Caenorhabditis elegans: one gene and its partner. The protein of the gene in region 1 interacts with the protein of each later gene in a pairwise test. Each region holds a gene or a part of one and is shown on either strand. Other genes may lie near its edges. The genes, in order: npp-26 and hlh-30.

Region 1 (5,715 bases):
GTTCCATGGAGCCAGCTGTAGAGGAAGTGTCCAGTACTGTGAAGTCTAAGCCATCTTTCACCAATGTCGCTAGTCCTCCGCCAGATTTGTTTCTCGAATTCAGCGCCGCTTTGTACCCGAAAGGGGTATAACCTGGTGACTCTTTCGCGATCTTTGTTTCTTGGAGAAGGAGGACGTCAGGTGATTCAGTTCTGATGATATGATTGATATCATCAGTTCTCGCCTGCCAGCCATTCACATTCCAGCAGATCATCGTGAAGCCTTGTTGTTGAAATGGTCTTTTTGACGGTGGGTTTGATGCCACTTTGGATTGACATTCCAGACAAGAGTAACCTCTCTGTTGATATTGGGCTACTGTCATTTTGAGGCATGACTTGTGAGACCAGTTTTTGCAATTTGAGCATTTTAGACTATTGTATTGATCACTTTTCTTGCATATTGGGCAGGGCCATCTCGTTTTGGGCGGACCAGGGTTCGTCTCGACGTCTCCGAAGGTGAGAATCCTGATTGTCGTTAGAAAAGTTTGAAGTTTGAGGGAGTTAGGTTTGGATAGAGCATTCCCTCTTGACTCTATCCTAGCAGAAAAAACTGCTTTGCTTGACAAAGTGGGCCTTGGAGGCCATTGTCGTTGGTTGTGTTTGGAGGTAGTTGGTCTTCTGTCGATGTTGATGGCAGAAGGATGAAAAATCATCCATATCCTTTTGGGTACTATATTTCGATGTTGATGGCAGAAGGATGAAAAATCAGTGAATGGAAAATCATAGTACACGCGTATTCCACAATTGGAAAAAAGTCTCAAAATGTACAGGAAAAATATTGGAATTAGATAAATATTAACATTTTCTCATTATGGATGGAGAAGCTCATCAATTGTTTGTTTTAACTGCATCAGCATCGCTTCATCACCATCAAATGAATCTAAATCCAGTTCTGGGATTATTTTGAATTTAATATTCAAAAGCAGCTGTATCCATCGTTCCTTGTCGACTTGGAGACGAGGTTTGCAGGTCTGGAAATTAAATTTTAAGACATTTTTTATATTTTAATGTTTAGTTAATACCGTTATCAGTTGCCAAAGAATGAACGATCCCCTTGGAATTTCTAGAATATGAGCCGTCGAAGCATCCACGTATTTCCATAGAATTTCGTCGGTTAGCTTCAATTTGAATCCTTTCGAGAAGCAGTAGGCGTCTGAAATGTGCTTTCATTGTTTCAAAACCATAATAACTTGGATACTAATAGGACGCAGAAAATGCGTATTTTGAAATCCAGGTGCAAACGCGCTCCACGGTGAACCGCTCCGCCCTTAAACGTTGGGTCTCGTTAGGTATTTAGCGGCAAGATGGTATATTCAACCGTTTTCAGGCTTATTTCATTTTTTATTATTATTTTTTATCATTCAAAAGTGATATGGAGGAAAATTCATAATCTAATTAAACGACCAAAATTTTAAAAAAAGGTACATATTTTTACCATATTTCTGATAAAACTTCCTTAGCTTTTTCCTTACAGTTTTTTGATTTTCAATTTTTTTTTTGAAACTCAAAAAAATCGAAAGTTCTGGAAATTTTTGTTTTCGATTTTCCGACTTTCCAAATAATCAAAAAAAAATTAAGAACACCCTTGATTTCAACCTAAACAACGGCAAAATGTTTTTTAGGAAAAAAATCTTTGAAACGTTCAAATTTACGATGATACAGTCAAATACCTAACGAGACCCATCGTTTAGAGGCGGAGTGCTTTAATTTCTCCGTGGAGCGCATTTACGTCCTCCATTTCAAGTGACGCATTTTTCTGCGATCACATAATAGAAGAATTACGATACTTTTAGTGAAAACCGAGCAGAACAAGATAATATGCGCTTTCTGTCGACTCCACTTCTTAATAGCATCCGGAGAGCTCGGATTCATCGATGTCGCCAGAAATTTGACCATACATTCCTCCGGATGTTGCCGTAAAAGGGCTGATCTGCTCAGTAATATAATACAGAAAACTTGTTCAATATATCCATAAAATACTGATAATCGTGTAATATGACTTGATATCAATGGTATTAGGCTTTCGTCGCGTTCGGCCAGTATCTGTAAAAATTTTTTGAATTCCTTAGAAAAAAACTGCTGCCGCATTTTGGCCCAAACATCGCAACATTTGGGCAACATCTGCAAGGAATTTTCGGTCAAACTCACGACATAGTTATGCACAATGCATAAACTGGCATATTCAATATCTTTATTAGTTTTCAGTTGAAGTACAGGGGCATATCCTCCGAGTACTTGAACTTCTTGCTTTTGTAATAAAGTTTTGAAGTAGTTGAGTATTTGAGCACAAGCTTCCGATGATGTTCGATGTTTAATGGATTGTTTTACCTGAAAAGAGTGCATACTTTATTTTCGTTATTTTCTAAAAATGGTTTTGAAAAAGCATGAATAAAATAAAGTTTTTATTTTGGGTCTCACCGCGAGTTAATGGTAACGACCTGGGGGCTTCTTTGTTATTATTTAGATATTTTTTAACGAAAAATTTGGTTTTTTTTGTTTTTTTTTTAAGAAAAAAACTTTAAAAAATAAATTCAAGCATCACTTTTTTTTGGTTGTTTGCAAATTTCAAATTTTCGTTTTTTGGCTCGAAATAATTTTTGGAGCAAAAACTAGATATTGTTATTACACAGTTGCAAAATTTTGAAATATAGTTTTTGTTTTAAATTGTATTTTCTGATGGTTTTCCAACAAAATCATGGTTTTTTCTTAACATATTGAAAAGTTGAGCGAAAATTCCAAAATAATTTGTCGGTACGGTAGCTGAAACATTTTTTGTCGTTTCAAGACCAGATACAGTATTTTAAAAGTCAAAAAATCACAAAAATTGGTAGTTTTGTAAAATCAAAATTTTTCGCGACGAGACCCATCCGCCAACTATTGTCAAATTTGGTTACAGCAACTCAATTGCTGGGGAATCGCAGAAAAAATGTGAAAACTAGTTTAATAACCTTGTATTTTATATTTTCCTTCAAAAATTCTCGAAACCGTGGATCTGTCGCAGATTTATAGCGATTTTTATCGTCCAAAAGCCCTTTCTCAAGACTAATATATCGTGCAAAGAGAAGATATGGGCGAATTGGTTCTCCGTAGGTTGAAGTACTCGGTACATTTTCCGGATCGTTTTGCATAATTTTGGCTTCTCTTCCAGCAAAAATAGTTCCTCGCACAATTTCAGCATGATTTTCAGGCAAATTTTCCACGAAAATCGATAATCTTCGTGAACTTCCAGGAGATGCACGCGGAGGACACAACAGCTTTGGTGCAGGCGTTTCAGGTAATTTTTGGCCAAAAATTATATTTTCATCAGCGGAAGGAGGTTTAGAAGTACGAGGCGTTGATCGAGTCGTGCCAGCTTTTGCAGATGATGGAGATCCTTGAGCAAGGATTTTCGAGAATATTGAGGAATTCGGATTCGGGCGCGCGAGAGTTCTGAAATTTATAGTTCAAAATTCATTTTACACGTATTTTTGAAATCGAGGTGAAAGCGCGCTCCAATGCCAAAAGTTGGGTCTCGTTAGGTATTGGCTGCAAAACCAGAAATGAAACCGGAAAAAATGGATTTTTTTTGACTAAAGCCACCGAACACCTTGATTTCAAAAATTGCACTTTTATGCGTTTTCATAATAAAATTCACCTTCCAGATGTACAAAGAGCAGCGTACTCTTTTTCCCATTCTTCTCGCAAATTATTGGTCTCCTGCTCAGTCGGTTTTCTCGAAAATGGAATTTTCATTTTCTCTGGTTCCACATGAGCTTCACTCATCGATTTCACCAATTCCTCAAACTTCCGATCGTATTTTTTACTGTGCTGTTGCCTCCGAATTTCCATTTCTCGAACGACATCATCGTCAACTTTCACTAGATCCATATCCTTTTGGGTACTATATTTCATCTGTAATTATTATGCCAATTTCAAAATTAAAACGTGGATTCTAGGAAAGTAGATTTGGACTCGACCAGTAACGGGAATTTCAAGGTTGAAGTTTCAAACTTTTTACAGAAAACTCAAATTTATCAAGCAATAAAAATATAAAATCGTTCGAAATTTCAAATTAATTTCAAATCATGGAGATATGATTGGACGGCGTCTGGTGAGCTTCATGTGGATTGGAGAGACCGGGCAAACGATTATTTCCATTTTTGGACGAACCTGAACAAGTTTTATTAAGAATTTAATTTATAAACTTTCAAATATCATTTCATGCACCAACTCAACATCTTTTACACTGAAATTTCTCAACAAATGAGTCATCTAGTGAATGTCTAGCGAATAGTTCCACTTGCAGGTCTGTAAATAATTATATTTGGTCACATTTTACTTACAGATCTCCGATAGTCATTCTTTGAAGAACATAACTAATCGATTTTTGAGGTGATTTGAGCAGTTGGAATGGAATAGACACACCGTTGTCCATGGTCACAAATGGAGAATGAGCAGATGGGAAGATTGGGTGGTCCGATCCAATTGACCCCCCTTCCCCAATTCTCTAATTCTCATCTTAGAGATATTATACATATTTTTCTTTGTCTAAAGCGTGCAGAGACACGCACATGTTCCAAAGGATAATGGAGCGAGAAGGCACTGGTTAGAGATCTTTTCTCTTAAAATAGAAAATTCTTCGAATTGTTCGATTCAACCTTTTTCGTTCTCATTGGTGTTTGATGGCAATATGCTCAAGCGCTGGAGTGTTGTTTGCAAAACATCAACAAGAAAATATCAACGGTTCAAATTTTGAATTTCGAAAAATTCACTTTTCCTGTATGACTTTGGTATTACGGGAACATTAATTTCTGAGAATGCGTACTACGCAATATATTTGACGCGCAAAATATCTCGGAGCGAAAAATACAGTAATTCTATAGATGACTACTGTAGCTCTTTTGTCGATTTACGGGCCTGAATTTCTGAATGAATTAAAACCATTTATGGAATATTAAAATTAAGCAAAACGTGAGAAAATAATACAAAATAACGAAGGAAAATGAGAAATTTGTTATCACTATTCAAAAAGAAACTCATTTCGAAAGTGGGCCCGTAAATCGACACAAGAGCTACAGTGGTCATTAAAAGAATTACTGTAGTTTTCGCTACAAGATATTTTGCGCGCCAAATATGTCGCCCAGTACGCATTCTTAGAATTGTTTGTTCCCATATTACCCACGGCCCGAGAAGTGGTACCTGTACGCAATTTGTCTACCGTATACCTGGACGTTTGGGCGCGTGTATCTCAAAAACGGTTGGTCCAGTTTTTTTGTGATGCATATAAAAAATGTCCGAAACTAAATTCTAAATTTTTTGGACCAAAGCTTTTTTCGTTATCACGCGCCCAAACCTGGTCTACACTCAAATTATCAGTAGAGCGCATTTGCATGGATGTACCACTTGCCGGGCCGTGTTACCCATTTAAATAAATCCACGTGCCTTTAAAGCGGCATGTCAAAATCTAGTGAAACTGTGTACGTTGCGGGACCATAGAGAAAATTTTTTGCTGCGCCTTTAAAAATACCGTATCAAAATTTGTCACATTTGTCAATATGAGCTGTTCCATGAGAATCAATATTACTAGCTATAACTTCATTCAAAAATCAATAAATTCAGACTTTTTGCAATGAGAAAAATTTAGTTTTGATATATTTGCAGTACGTATTCACAGAATTTAGTGTAGAGCCTATAGAGC
Region 2 (5,281 bases), 740 kb from region 1:
TTTCCAAACGAAAAGATTAATCTCTGCTTGGCTCACGGAGCACAACGAAAAATGTGTCTTGATGAGAAATCGGGTTAGATGAGTGACGTCGCAAATACGAAACAATATGAGATTAATGAAAAAGCCCTCTATTGTTTCGTTTGGAGGGGATAAGGATAGAGTTTTACCCTTTTTTTGCTGTGAGGGACTTTTGGCCACACATATAGAGAATTTTGGGGCTTAACCTATAAACCTTACTATTAGGGCCACGGCCTAGGAAACGGGGCCCAGGGAGCTAGATTTTGGAACATGAATTTGTAAGCCTATGAGTCTAAGCTTAGGTGTCTAAACTTTCTGATCGGGACCTAAACATATGACCCTGGGGGCCTAAAATTTTAAAGCTAATAGTAAGCCTTTGAACCTAAGCATTGGGACTTTAACTTTTGGAGCTAATAAACCCCTTTACCGGGAACACCACTAGGGACGTTCTGGGAACACCACTAGGGAGGTACCTAAATGTTAAGAACTAAGCCTAGAGGCAAACTTCATGGCCTTAGCTTACAAGCCTTGGGACCAGGGAGCCAAGCCTATAGATCTAAGCCTAGGGTCTTAAGTTTCGGACTCTAAATCTGAAATTCAAACTTACGAGAAATTGAGCAAAAAGTGTTGTCAATTTAAACCCTTTTTCAATTTAATCATCAATATTTGCCCCGACCTCTGGAAATATCACAATACCACCAATCCGGCGCCCCAACTCCTCCTTTATTTCTCAGTTAGCCCCCCCCCCCCTACTGTTTGCCGAGTAACAATTCTCTGCGTCTTGCAAATTCCCAAAACTTCATTGTACATACACATATCACTATCATAATCATCACACACTAATTATGAAAGAGAATAGGCGCCGCGCTTATCAGTTGGCGGCGGGAGGCCGAATTCTCCTTCGTCGCCTAAAAAGAGAGGGTTTTGTCGAATAGTTTTGTTTTATTTTCGTATTTTCTTTGCGTTGGTTGGAATTTAAAACAAACTTTTGATGGCGTCATTGTTGCTTTGGATCATTTCTTTGTCATGTTTTTGTGATGATAACCTGTGTTTGGGTTGAAAAAAAATCGACTTTTCCAGGTTTTTGTTGACTTAGAGACTTTGTGAGGTCTCACTTTTTGAAATTGATAGAGTGCCACTTCCAGACCCCCTAAAACTTCCAGCAAAGCCGCTGGGTAAAAATTCTACTCGGATCATAGAACGATAACATTTTCTTCAAGTTGTCTTTTTTGATCCATCCGTTTTCGCCATTTTTTTGTTTCTGAACCTCGGAAGCTTAAAAAATTCTAATTTTCCTGAAAACCCTGTTTCGAACGACCTAAGTAAGCTTCAAATGTCAGAAGTCCCTAGGTGCAGCTCCAGAAGGCTTAGGTTCTTAGGCTTAGCTTCCTAATTGTTCGCCCTCAAGGTAGGAATTTTTGGAATATTTTGTTCAGGACATCTAATAACACTTTTTGATTTTATTTAGATCACCTTAGATTGCATACTGCTCCATTGCCCGAACCTAGAAAAAAATCCTTGTCCGAACAAAGGCCTTAAATTGTTAAGCTAGCTTTATCTTTTGAATTTCTCAGATTTTTCAAAACCGAATTTTGATCTCCCTCATCTTTTAATCTTCTTCTAATCAAATCAAGCCCATCAAACTGTTCAAAAAAAAAGATCTCTGGCCACCTCCTCCGAATACAGTTTGTTGTGTTCTTCTTATTTTTCTCGACCTAATCTCTGATGTCTTAACTATATGGACCGTTACTATCTTGTAATTAGGATGGGGCCAATGATTTTGTTTAGGAGTTTAGTATTCTAGGATTCCAGCTACGCAGACAGCTAGCCACCCCCAACTGCCCTTAAGTAGCCTAATCGCCATTGTCTCGACAAGAACTTGGCAGGAGGTGGGGGACACAGTAATAAACGAAATGATCGGTGGTGGAGGCTGTGAGAGAAAGAGATAGGGGCGGGCGCGTGTGCGCCCGTGTGCCCCATCTCTCGCGCCTCTCGCTCGATCCTTTGGGGAGGGGCTGCTGTTGCTGGCGACGACCTCTTGATATGTCACATTGTGTCTGCCGCTCTCTCGCCTCGTCCTCTCGTATCACCTCGGTCTCCCGCGACCCCTTTGGGCGCCTCTCTCCCGACCCTTCCACTCGGTTTCTTCTCTTGTCTTTCGCTCTTTTCCCTCTCCCCCTTTCGAATTTTTTTCCTTTTTTTCTACCAACCAATATACCTTTTTATCGATTGATTTTTTTTTAATTCTCAGATCCCGATACTGAAAAAAAAAATCAGCGAATAAGAGCATTCATGATCCGCCAACTAAATTCACCAGGCGGTGGCGGCGGCCTCGGATTGAACAATCCGAGAGCCCAGCAGCCACCGGGTGCTCAACAGCAGCAGCAACCACAACAAGCCCAGCAACAGTTCTACGATGACGAGCCATATCAGGCTAACGCGTCGCAGTTTCGATTTGGCGCCGGCAAAAGTGTAAGGGCTAATAATTTTCTAGGTTCAGGTTTAGGCCAACGACATTTGGTCTTTACACCCTTCAAATAGCCCCGTTTCTTATCAGCTCTCTTTCCCCCCGCTTTTAGTTTCCTGCTCCGGGCACCCAACTTCCTTCCGGGACACTTGAGTAGCCTAACTCACCAGAACTTTGTCTTGAAATTCGCTCAAGATAAGACCCCCATCTGACGATTGATTGACCGGTCATGTGTGGTGACAATACACAAAAAGAGAAAAGAAACAAGAGAGCGAATGAGACTTGATTGTTTTGTAGTTTGTGGTTTCGGCGGTCCGTTTGGGCTTGACACAGGCTTCTAGTTTCAGTCCTATCAACGTTCTTTGAGCTGATATCAGTTTTGACCTACTTTATCAATTTACCAATCGCATTACCATTTTCATTGCGAGCCAAAACTCGCATTAAAAATTTACAAACCTCGCTTAAAATTGTACTTTGCTCTCTTCGCCCATTTTCTAAGCTTGATCCGATTTCAATTTCAAATCACAAATCGAATTTCAAACTCAGTTTTCTCATCTCTCGACGCCAATTGTCATCACTTTGGGGCCGGCGAGGCGGTGGCGACAGGGGCAGCTAATTTATCAAGTAACAGGGCTGCTCAGTTTTCTGATCGGCTTTGATTTCCCTATCTCCCAAATTAGAGAGATATAGACACAATGTTTTTGGCACACTGCCAACTTCCCGCCCGCCGCCGCCGCCAATATAGTAGTAGTAAACAAAGCAGAGCGCTCATGGTGCATCAACGACCGAAATTTAGTAGTTATCTTTCCATAATGATTTCTATCTCTTTTCTTATTTTGTATTTTGAGATGGAACAACGTCGAGAGACGGGAAATCTGATTCCAATCGCACAACGATCGATGGGCTCGACGTCGACACCGTTCGGCTCAGCGCCTACACAGAGCTACTTTGGCGGAGGGAGCAGTGGAGCGGCATTAAGTAGTCCAAGGAAGATGCAGCAGACGCATCAGATGTTGTTCGGCAATATTCAACCGGTTAGTTTCAAATTTTATTAAAAGAAAATTTTTGTTTTCTTACATTGTTTGAGCTCAAAGTCTCTACAGAAATAAAACAAAAAACGAAACAAAATACTGCATTCTAACATAATTTTTAACGATTTTATGGAAAGTTTAAAGGTAGTTTACAAGTTTTTTTTACCCAGCTCAATTAATAGTAAGAAAAAAAGCAGAATTTTTGGAATTTTTTTCTTATGAAAAAAAGTGGGCCTGAAAGGGCTCCCCGGTAACTAAATTGTTTTGTGGTTCTTTTTTTTTAATCTGTGTAAAAGTACCTTTTTCAAGAGTTGGGGTTTCTTGGCTCAAAATAAGCTTAAACCCTGCTCTTCTTCGCTTAAAGGCGTAGGCACACAATTAAATTGCTCGACATTATAGATCTTCAAACTTTACGTAAAAATTTCTTCCAACTTGCTCCCCTGAAACTGATATCTTTTCATTTTTCTTGTAGATCTCCCTTTTTTGGCATCTGTTGTTAGCCTAACGTCGTAGGGTCAAATTATAGAAGTTTGAATTTTTACAAAAAAATTGTTCTTGATTGGCTTTAACAATATGACCCCCCCCCCTGAGCCATGTATTTGTTTTCAAGCACTTTTGCGCCACGGCGCCCATTCCATATTTTTCCTTCCACATTCTGCGGTCTCTCCCACTCCCAGATGACTCCACCCTAGACGGAACAGCTGAAAAACGAAAAACGGGCGCTGAAAAAATCTTGCGTTTGGCACGTAGCCCCCCCCCCCCCCGGGTCTCTGTCTGCCTCTTGGACAGTGTCACGTGGTGTTCGGCTAGCTTCTCTCGGCGTCCGGTTGTTTTTACACTCTCCGATGGTCTCTGACGTGTGGTAGTGGTGGTGGATAGGACTGAGAAGACAATGAGATGTTTGAGTTGAACTTTCAAGTTGATTGGTTGGGTAGGGAGGGGGCTGTATGTGGACTAAAAGGTCGAATAGGACCCTAGCTATCAACAGCGCATCAAATAAAATTTGACTTTATGATACGAGTCTGTACCATTTGACTAGCTCATTACAAAAACCCACGAAGCTAACTCCAAGTTCCCGGTATTTCGTTTGAAACTTTTTTGCCAAACTTCGATGCTCGTAGAATTTATCCAAAACCAAATTTTCTGAGATTATTAATTTTTCAATGTTTAGGCCAAGCTTTTTGAAACTTTTTCTGAAAAAAGCAGAGTTTTTTTTTCGATTATTTCGAAATCCGTCGAATTTTTCATAATCGGATTTTCCCAGATTTATAACGCATTCTCAAAGCTTTTTGGAAATTTTTAGGACTTTTTCTCCCCATTTTGTCAGTGCATTTTCGCTAGTTTCAAGTCCCGTAGAATTTCTCCAAAACCAAATTTTGAGAGATTTTCAATGTTTTAAAGCATGAGGAAAACTAGGCAAATATTCTGGAAGCTTTTTGGAAAAAAAAACATCTTACAAAAAAAAATTGAAATTTCTCGGAACCTGGGATCTTTTTTTTTTCACAATCAGTACATTTTCCCCCTAATTTTGAAACCTGTAGAATTCAGGGAAAATCTGATTTTCATAGAATTCTAATGTATTTAAGAACGTTGAGAACTTAACTTTTTTCTAGAAATTTTTTCGACCATTAGAGTTTGTTTCCCAGGAATTCGAAACTTGTACAAATTTCGTTATCACTCTTTATTTGAACTATTTTTCTAAAATTGTGAAGTCCTAATTATTAGTGTTGTACGTTTGAATCCGGATTCGTTTTCGCATTGAGAC

Evidence for each region.
Region 2: the proteins of npp-26 (region 1) and hlh-30 interact in a two-hybrid assay, tested with the Caenorhabditis elegans proteins (one large-scale study listed by BioGRID).

What each region holds. Positions count from the first base shown.
Region 1 is NC_003282.8:4,762,938-4,768,652, reverse strand, and holds npp-26 (Nucleoporin GLE1), read right to left. Parts: upstream 3,932-5,715; 5' UTR 3,906-3,931; coding exon 3,673-3,905; intron 3,468-3,672; coding exon 2,987-3,467; intron 2,367-2,986; coding exon 2,187-2,366; intron 2,082-2,186; coding exon 1,826-2,081; intron 1,192-1,825; coding exon 1,061-1,191; intron 1,010-1,060; coding exon 848-1,009; 3' UTR 697-847; downstream 1-696. Other genes in the region: Y17G9B.2 (uncharacterized protein), read right to left, coding at 4,166-4,187, 4,361-4,452.
Region 2 is NC_003282.8:4,025,116-4,030,396, reverse strand, and holds the start of hlh-30 (Helix-loop-helix protein 30), read left to right. Parts: upstream 1-2,269; 5' UTR 2,270-2,310; coding exon 2,311-2,490; intron 2,491-2,585; exon of another isoform or gene 2,586-2,669; intron 2,670-3,333; coding exon 3,334-3,519; intron 3,520-5,281.